2 linked regions of the Caenorhabditis elegans genome follow. The protein of the gene in region 2 interacts with the protein of the main gene of each other region in a pairwise test. Each region holds a gene or a part of one and is shown on either strand. Other genes may lie near its edges.

What was found. The genes of interacting proteins can lie anywhere in the genome.
Region 1: the proteins of tcer-1 (region 2) and snr-3 interact in a two-hybrid assay, tested with the Caenorhabditis elegans proteins (one study listed by BioGRID).

What each region holds. Positions count from the first base shown.
Region 1 is NC_003280.10:6,488,331-6,491,493, reverse strand, and holds snr-3 (putative small nuclear ribonucleoprotein Sm D1), read left to right. Parts: upstream 1-1,732; 5' UTR 1,733-1,740; coding exon 1,741-1,819; intron 1,820-2,033; coding exon 2,034-2,138; intron 2,139-2,183; coding exon 2,184-2,285; intron 2,286-2,332; coding exon 2,333-2,427; 3' UTR 2,428-2,663; downstream 2,664-3,163. Other genes in the region: rsp-5 (putative splicing factor, arginine/serine-rich 5), read right to left, coding at 276-383, 429-507, 835-1,086, 1,138-1,325; plpp-1.2 (Phosphatidic acid phosphatase type 2/haloperoxidase domain-containing protein), read right to left, coding at 2,744-2,862, 2,908-3,007, 3,058-3,163. UniProt on the Caenorhabditis elegans protein: Plays a role in pre-mRNA splicing as a core component of the spliceosomal U1, U2, U4 and U5 small nuclear ribonucleoproteins (snRNPs), the building blocks of the spliceosome.
Region 2 is NC_003280.10:7,045,333-7,051,677, forward strand, and holds tcer-1 (WW domain-containing protein), read right to left. Parts: upstream 4,740-6,345; coding exon 4,639-4,739; intron 4,581-4,638; coding exon 4,554-4,580; intron 4,495-4,553; coding exon 4,152-4,494; intron 3,657-4,151; coding exon 3,470-3,656; coding exon of another isoform or gene 3,438-3,469; exon of another isoform or gene 3,106-3,437; intron 2,952-3,105; coding exon 1,612-2,951; intron 1,558-1,611; coding exon 1,111-1,557; intron 1,063-1,110; coding exon 831-1,062; intron 777-830; coding exon 709-776; 3' UTR 541-708; downstream 1-540. Other genes in the region: ZK1127.5 (putative RNA 3'-terminal phosphate cyclase-like protein), read left to right, coding at 5,343-5,472, 5,520-5,926, 5,974-6,345.

The DNA of each region.
Region 1 (3,163 bases), 560 kb from region 2:
CGGCAATTTCCAGAACAGTAAAAATAACAAAGCAGTAAATTAGCCCAAAATTGCGTTCGACCTTCAAATTCCCCAATATTGTACAGTAGTTGAAGTAATCGTGGTGAGACCTGTGTGAATAATACCATGTGCCTTTAAATATTTTTAAAAAATGAAGGAAGTCTCCGCTCGGTTTTATTCGGGAATTATTAAAATCAGAACAGCTCTGAGGATGAACAAATATTATAAAATAGAAGTGGTAAATGAACAACAGTAAACGGTATAAAAACACAATTTTAATCCTTTGGAGATCCTGGAGACGGAGAGCGAGACACACTGCGATTGCTGCCATCTCGGCTGTGACTTCTTCCACGGCTCACGCTGCGCTTTCTATCTCCGCCGTTCTGAAACCATATGATTTTTACTATACAAGCACATAAATGAATTACCTTTGGGGGAGATCCACTTCGGGTTCTGCTTCGATCTTTTGCTGGCAGTGGTGAACGAGATCTCGACGCTTCACGCTTCCTAAAATATAATTCTTGCATTTAATAGAGTCGGAATCTAAAGGACTCGAATACGAAACCGATATGTTTGCGCGAAGTTGTCTGATTCAAAGTTAGGGATCTCACTCTTTTAATCGAAACAGCGGCTTTTGGTAACTGTGGGGACTGAACGAGAAGTGAATTGAAATGTATTGATAGTTGACCCATACTGTGCTCGAACTGTCTCAGCTATGTGTATGCCATTGCGATGTGGGCTTGTAGGTGATATTGATTTCTCATTGAACTGTGGCTAAAACGGTTCGTGATGTGGCACCCTTCCAAAACAATCCACACATTAAAGTTAACTTACAAGTCTCTTTTCGGGCTCGGCGAACGGGATTCGCTTCTGCGACGACTTTCACGAACTGGTGATCTGGATCTGGAGGAGCTTCTGGAACGGGATCTGCGAGAACGTTTGCGATCACGAGAGCGGGAACGTCTTCTTGGTGGAGTACGTGAACGACGTCTAGGAGAGCGGGAACGTCGTCGTGGTGATCTCGATCCATGACGGTCATTGCCGCGTGGTTTTCCGCGAGCCATTTCCACGACAAGGCGCATAGAGCTGAAAATAAAAAGTTAGAACATTTTTAATTTTGGTTTATTATTTTATTACCTTCCTTCCATGGTTTTTCCATCCAAATCATGGCATGCGTCTTCAGCATCACGAGAATCTTCAAAATCGACAAAGGCAAATCCATACTTCATTGAGATGTTATTAATTTTGCCATATCCTTTTAAGAATCGCTCAACGTCGCGTTCGCGTGCATTGTATGGAATTTTTCCTAGATAGAGGCGCGGCATTTCTGGAAAATCACTTTATATTCAAAAATTAATTTATTAAACGCCGTTCATTAAGCCCAGTAAAAAAAACACATGAATTCGAGAAATCAATCTCAATTTTAAGAAGAGAAAGTCCTAAGTCAAGAAAAAGAAATTCTATCAAAAGCGCACACATGAAAACGAGTGCGACCGTACTCCTAGTCGTTGCGAGACCACTTGGCATGCCGCCAAGTCTTTTGCATTTTCGAATGTGCTCAAAATGACTGGATTCCAGTCACTGGAAATCTGTTTTGAAACATTTTTCCTTGATGCAGATGTTTTTATTTGTCATAACCTCTTTCTTATCAGTTAAAAGTTATTTTTATCGTCGTATTTTCTATTGAATTCCATCGTTTCCTTTTATTCTTCTATAATTGTATGTATTTCAGGTAGAAAAATGAAGTTGGTCAGATTCCTGATGAAGTTGTCTCACGAGACCGTCAATATTGAATTGAAGAACGGTACTCAGGTGTCCGGTGAGTATTTTTTAAGATTAATTGTCTGCTTGAAAGTGTTTTAATCGAGAAGTTGAGTTATTAACCAACCAAAATCAATCTTTCACGAATTGCTCGACATTTGTTATAGTGTTTTTATATTAGGATACATTTTCAAAGTCATAAATCCGAATAATATTGTATAATTTTAATTACTGCAAAAACGTAACTAAACAACTAAATCGATTTTATTTAGGCACTATCATGGGAGTCGATGTTGCGATGAACACACATCTTCGTGCCGTCTCAATGACAGTTAAGAACAAGGAGCCAGTCAAACTCGACACGCTTTCAATCAGAGGTTATTAAAAATCATATTTGAATAAATATAATTTAAGATTTTCAGGTAACAACATCAGATACATCATTTTGCCGGATCCACTCGCTCTTGACACCCTTTTAATCGACGATGAACCAAGAAAGAAGGCCCGTGCCGCTCGCGCCGGAGGTAGCTTTAAGCGTCTTTTCGACAGATTATTAATATTTTTATTTCAGCTTCACGTGGACGTGGTCGTGGTGGAATGCGCGGAGGAAGAGGAGGTCGTGGTCGCGGACGCGGAGGACCACGCGGAGGCGGTCCACGTCGTTAAGCTATCATCGGGTCATAGCAAATTTGAGTATCGAACGTCCTATACTTTTGTATCACGTTCCTCAAGTTTAATTCACATTTTGTTCCCGTTAAAGTTGCTGACTTTTGTTTAAATCTTTTGAAATAATTTATTACGGCTTTCCGAGTCAACACAAATTTCCCAAGTTTCGCAGCCCGTGAGAACAACTGTACTTTATTTTGTTGTTACGTTCTGATCTCTATAAATTTCTTCAATTCAAGCATTAAGAGCAACAACATAAGGGCAAAAATTATTTATATTTAAAACAAAAAATTCGAATAAAAACAAGAAAATTGCATTATGCACTTTGCGGAACCGGCAACAAAATTGTATCCGAGTCCTGCGGTCCAGTAGCTTCAAAAACAATAGAACTATCCGTAGAAGGTAAAACTGCATCCAATCGATGTCGCTCCTCATCTGGAAAAAAATATGTAATTGAGTTAAAATTTACGATGGACCAACCTTCAGAGTTTCTGGGAGTACGGGGTGGTCGAGGAAGCAGAAGAGGTTGTGTTTCAGATTCAGTTGAATTGTTTGAGAACAAATCTGTCCAGAAGGTACACTGAAAGCAGAAAAAATGCGAAAGTTCCCAAACACTCATAATAATATTACAGTGTAAACAGCCAAGAATATTCCAATGAAAATTCCGACAAGAACATCGCTCCAATGATGCTTATTATCAGTGATTCTGGAGAAGCTAATTCCAAGTCCAATCATA
Region 2 (6,345 bases):
TTTTCAAACACCCGTACTCAAAAATGTTTAAAAATTTTATCAATTCAGAAAACCTTTTTAATGTTTTTATATTGTAAGAAATTAGTAGATTTGCAAAGAAAAATTTGGTAGAATTGAACTATTTCCCGAGAAATAAGCGTTTTTTGGAAATTTCGTTTTCATGTGCTACCCGTACTCAAATTTATCGTTGGACCTGAAATCAATAGCACTTCTGAAAGTGTTTGATTCAACATGTTTTTACAAAGTATGCCCATCAAGATATCACTAAATTTTCATGCACAAGCATAGAAATATTCTCAGAGAAATACCAGTATTATGAAAAGTTAAAAAAAAACCTTTTTGTTGCAATTTCAATCAAATTTTCTATACTTCCAAATAAAATTGGAGTTTTTTCAAGTAGAATCTAGTAAGCCCCAACACAGAAAAATGTTCTGAAAAATAGTATGGCACTCCCTATTAGACTTGCACTCCCTAATAGTATTGCAAGCGGGAAGACCATCGAAAAATAGTATTGCAGCCATATTAATAGAAGAAATACGGTAATTCTTTTTAGAATCAATGAGAGGCACAAACAATAAGTGGCTAAAAATACTGTGGATACAGGTACAAAAATAGATGGAGAACGGGAAAGTGATGAGATTGAATGAGAAGATTGGATCTGATTAAAGATGGAATATCAACAACTAATTTAAATACTTAATCAAGTGTTTATTGCTTTCTGCGATCCCGCTCTTGTTGTGTTGGTGGAGGCGGTGTTCCTTTGCGGCCCAAGTTTTCTGGAAATATTAATATGTAAATCAACTGTATCAATTTATGAGCATTTATCTTACCAATATGATCTTCTAGCATACGATCCCGTTCTGATGCACTCATAGCAGTCATCCGCACCCATCTCTTATCGTTTTCGAGAACTGACAAAATATCCATGTGCTGTTCACCTTCTTCCATCAATTTTTTCGACTTATGCGTGATGATTTTTGTCTCAGAAAGCATCTCCTTGAATTCATCAGTAAGGTGATCGTGCCGTCTCTCCTGCCAATCTCGGAAATCTCTCTCAACTTTCTGAAAATAATAAAGTTAAAGTATTTTAATTAAAAATAAATCACAAACCCTCTCCGAGTTGCTAGCAATTTTTACGAAAGTCTCTTCCTCGTCTTGAATGATTTTTTTAGCGTCTCTCCAGCGCATCATTGGTGTGATCTTCTCATGATTATCTAGAACTTGGAAGAAAGCCTCACGACGCTTTCTTTCCAAACTTTTGATATGATCATCAAAGAGCGACTCTTTGCGAGTTTTATCCAACATATCACAATTTGCATAGCGTTCATCTTTTCGAAGAATGCGTCGAGCCTCGTGCCAACTGTTTTCGGTAGATTTTATCAGATCGATTAGAAGATTTCGGTAGGTATCCTCGTGTTCGCCCATCTTTTGTTTCTCACTTTCTTTTGTGCGCTCTCGCAGTTGATTACCAAGTTCGGCTTCAACTTCTTTCTGACGGTTTGCAATGGCCGTTTGAGCAGCAAGACGCTTCTCACGTTCCTGCTCTTCTTCGATATCCTGAAAATGATATTTTAAAATTGAAAAAAAAAAACAATAAGACAATAAATTCACCGATGCTGTTTCATCTCCAAGATTCGCCACAAATTCTCGGAACAGAGATTCTCTGGTAGAACTACTATCGAGAGCAATGTATCTTTCTTCATCTTCAAGTGTTTTCTTCGTGGTTGACCATTTAGATTTGCGCGTGAGACCAGTCTGCTCTTCCAAAAGTTTCACAAAAGCTGCTTTCAGTTTTTCTTTCTTAGCACGTTTCTCGTCTTTTTCCTTCTTATGCAATTCGCCGACAAAATCGTTGAAAGCATCTTCTCTATCACGATTTCTTTCAACTGCTTTGTAACGAGGGTCTTTTCCGAACTTTGAAGTGAATGAAGAATACGATGACCGTCCATTGAGTTCGCACTCAGCAAGTAACTTTTGAAATTCTTCCTTTGCTTCTTTGACCCGTTTTCTTCTCTCAGCTTTCTCAGATTCAATTTTTTCCCGGCAAAAAGCATCGAAGCAAGCTCTACGCTCAGTAGCCCCAAGAGACAGGTAACGTTTGTCGAAAACAATTTTTGAAAGTTCCTTCTCGAACGTGCTTGATGTGGAAACATTTTTTTCTTCGAGCATTTCCTTGAACTGTTTCAGTCTCTCCTCCAATGGAACTTTCTCTCTTTCCTTTGCAGCTTGCATCTCAGCCTCAATTGCAGGATCAACTGGTTTCTGAAGCATTTGGCGAGGACGTTCCTTCTCCTTCTTTTGAGCAGCAATCAAAGCTTCCTTCTTCTTTTCAGCTCGACTTTTCTTAGCTTTTGGAGGACCATCCTCATCAGACTCAGATTCTGACTCGCTTTCTTTTTTAGACTGATTATTTTCTTCTTCTGCTTTTGGAGATGGAGGATTCTGAACTAGTTTGTCAACGTCTTCGCGTCCATATGTATCTGGTGGACGTTCCCAAACAGAGCACTTCGTAGAAGGATTGTAGAAGAATACCTTGTCATCACCGGTCCAAACAACACACCATGGAGTTCCACTGACTGGAGTGCTGCTAATGGGACGAGTCGAATCTTTCTTTTTAGCAGCTTCGGCGTTTACCGCAGCTGCAGCAGCTGCACCTGAAGCTTGTGCTTTAGACAATGGCATTCCACCTCCGCCATTGGAAGAAGTTTTCTGTTGAGCCATAAAAGCTGCCAGCGCCGCTTGTGCTTTGGCTTGAGCTTCAGCGATAGCAGCCGACTGTACAGGTTCGGGAGACGCTCCCCCTCCATTCTCTTGATCGATGAGAGCTTTTGGTTTTTCCCAAGTATTCTCTTGTGTTATCGAATTGAAGTAGTATTTCCGGCCATCCGGGGCATTAAACTCATTCCAGGCATCATCAGGATTTTGTGGGATTTGACCATGTGGCATTCGCTCTGAAAAAAAATCATATGTTAGGCATAAATATGAAAAATAAAATCTAATTTATATTCAGAGACCGCCCCTACGTGGATCCCGAATCTCATAGTCAAGAGATAATGATGATTTTCTATTATGACTTGATGGAAAACTTAGAAAAGTGGACATTACACATTAGTGGATGGCATGATGCTCGCACGGCATAGAATGTCCTTCTCGCAGCTCGTAAATCGGTAGTTGTTCCGCAATTTTTTCCTGTGGCTGTGATACAATACGGACTTTTTGATTATTACCACTGATTTTTATGTTTCTTTTTTCCAAACTTATTATCAAACTTTTCTAACAAACGCGTTTCAGCTTTGACAGCAATGAAGAGGAACGACTAGAAGAGCGACATAATCTTATGGAGAGATGAACCTAAGAATCTGAAATTTCTGTGCCAGGTTTAAACTTAACCTTCTGAAAATTAATTATAAATGTGCAAAAAGATGGAATCAAAAACATCAAATGCTAAAAGTTGAATGCAATTGCATACCTTCACGATTCTTTTCCTCTTCCGTGGCTCTATGAATGAGTTGAGCCAATTCTGGTTGAGTGACTATTTTAGCGTTTTGTGGTCGCTCCCAAATTGTGTTCCTGTTAACTGGATGATAAAAATACTTTTTTCCTTCAGCTGTCTCAGTTTCAACCCATAACTCTTGTCCTTCTTCACATCCCGAAAGCTGAAATACCGTATTTCTTCTATTAGTATGGCCTCCCTATTAGACTTGCACTCCCTATTGGTATTGCACCATGAACACCCTCCGAAAATTAGTATTGCACTCACTTTTAGTGTTGCACTCCCTAATAGTCTTGCGTCTACTTTTTTTCGGTGCAAACCCGCCTCACTAAATTTGAGATTTTAACAACATTTTCTGCGTCGTTTTCAACAATTTTCGTGAAAATTTTTATAAGATTGAAGTTTTTGAACTTTTTTGTTGCAATTTCAATCAAATTTTCTGAATTTTTACATAAGATTCGAGTTTTTTCAGAACAAAAGTAGTAAGCTCAAAGTCAGAAAAAGGCCCTGAAAATTAGTATTGCACTCCCTAATAGTCTTGCACTCCCTATTGGTATTGCAAGCGGGAAGACCATCGAAAAATAGTATTGCAGCCATATTAATAGAAGAAATACGGTATACGTTTCTAGACTATTTCAACAATTGAACATTTACTCACTCTCTTCAGACGTTGCTCCTGATCTTGTGGATTCGGCCCTGGTGCTTGAGCACCATATGCTCCAGGACCTCCGTTATAAGGCCCTCCGTACGCTCCTGGACCTCCATTTGGTGCAACACCATAACCTCCTCTGTATGGAGGCATGTATCCACCACGACCTGGCGGCATACCGCGACCGCGCGGAGCAAAACCACTGCTCATACCTGGTGTAGCAAATCCACGACCTCTACCTGCGAATCCTGGAGGAGCCATCCCTGGTCCACCTCGACCACGTGCAGCTGGGGGAACACCGAAAAAACTTCCAGCACCGCCTGGCGGTCCATTAAATCCTCTACCTCTGCCGCTGAAAAAATGTACTGATAATTTATTTAGATTGAGCATGTAAATTTAATTTTATAATACCTTGACGACCCTCCTCGACCATATCCACTGAAAAATAATATTTTTACGGTTTTCGTAAAATTAAGAATACCAAAAAAAAACATACCCAAAATCATCGCCTCGGCTTGATTCGTCGTACTGCTGGTCATATTTATTGTCGTGGTCTCCGTTATAATCATCGTAGTTCTCCTGATTTTCGTGGCTCATCTGTAAAAAAGAGCAGTTCATAAAGTAAAATCCAAAAACAGTAGTCTAGCATAATGGAATTACGAAAAGTTTCAAAACTATATCTAGTTGAGCTCTATAAAGATCAGCTATGTATATAACAGAGTGTTAATTGCTTGGCTTATATATTTAGTCATTCCCATTTACCCTAATAATACTTTGTAAACTGAAAACAAATAAAATAGTTGTAAAAAGCTCCGAAATATGTTGCAAAGGACCGCGTCGCACACCGCGTCGCGCTCTGAATTCTCACAATGGAGCGCGTTTGCATTATTTTTTTTCGCGGAATTTTTTTTGCAGTTGCAGATGAATACAAAAAATTAAAAGGATTTAAAAAAAGTCTTTTTAATTAACTGATTTATTAAGACACAAAACGAGTAAACGTTTTCTTTATTTTTTGCTGATTTGCAGATAATATATGCTCCCAATGAAAACTGCTCTCTAGCATTTTTAGTTTCTATTTGAGCTCAATCCTCAAATTGGAGAATTTTAATTCAAATAAATTTAATATTTATATGCTGTTATTTTTCAATCGCTTGTTTTTCTTCAATTTTCGTCTTGACTGATGGACACATTTTTCAGGTAATGTCCAGTGAAACTCTAGAATTCAGTGGATGCAATTTCTTCCGAATCAGACTAGCGTACTCAATTCTCAGCGGAAGACCCATCAGAATAATAAACATCAGAAAAAATGATGATAGACCAGGAATCAGAGGTCGGTCTACTCATTATCAACTTGTATCACATAAAATATTATTACAGATTTCGAATCAAAACTGATCGGTCTACTTGAGAAAGTGACGAACGGTACTAAAGTTGAAATCAGTCGAACAGGTACTCAAGTCATTTTCCGACCGGGAATGATTACTGGCGGTGTTGTTAATTTGGATTGTGGTACCGAAAGATGCATTTCTTACTTTTTGGAGCCTCTTCTATTGCTTTCTCCCTTCTGCAAAGTTCCAATGGTAATCAAATTGAAAGGAGTTACAAACGCACCTGGTGAAATCTCAGTCGATGGTATGAAAGCTTCTTGGTTGAAAGTTTACAACAAATTTGTGCTCAATGATGAGAAACTTGATATCAAAATTCAAGCTCGAGGATTGAAACCAGAAGGAGGCGGTGTTGTCGTGTTTACCGCTCCAATTGTTAAAACTCTTCGGCCAGTAAAAGTGAGTTTACTTTATTCGTTTCTTCCCAAACAAAATGTTAATTTAAGAGACAACAAGTCGGAAAAGTTTGTAAAATTCGAGGTCAAGCATATGTTACTAAAGTTACACCTTCACTAGCTTATCGAATGATTGACGCTGCAAAGAAAGCAATGCATGGGTACATTTCGGATGTTTATATTACTGTTGATCAACGGAAAGGTGATGCTGGTGGCGCTTCTCCAGGATATGGTCTGTTCTTAACCGCCGAAACGACAGAGGGTGTTATCTACCAAGCAGAAGCTATTTCAAGACCGAAGGGCGAATCAGGAGTTCCAATTCTTCCAGAAGACATTGGAATTGAAGCCGGTCATGCTCTTCTTCAACAAATTTACATGGGAGGTGCCCTTGACAGTAGTGCTCAAATACTTGCAAGCACATTT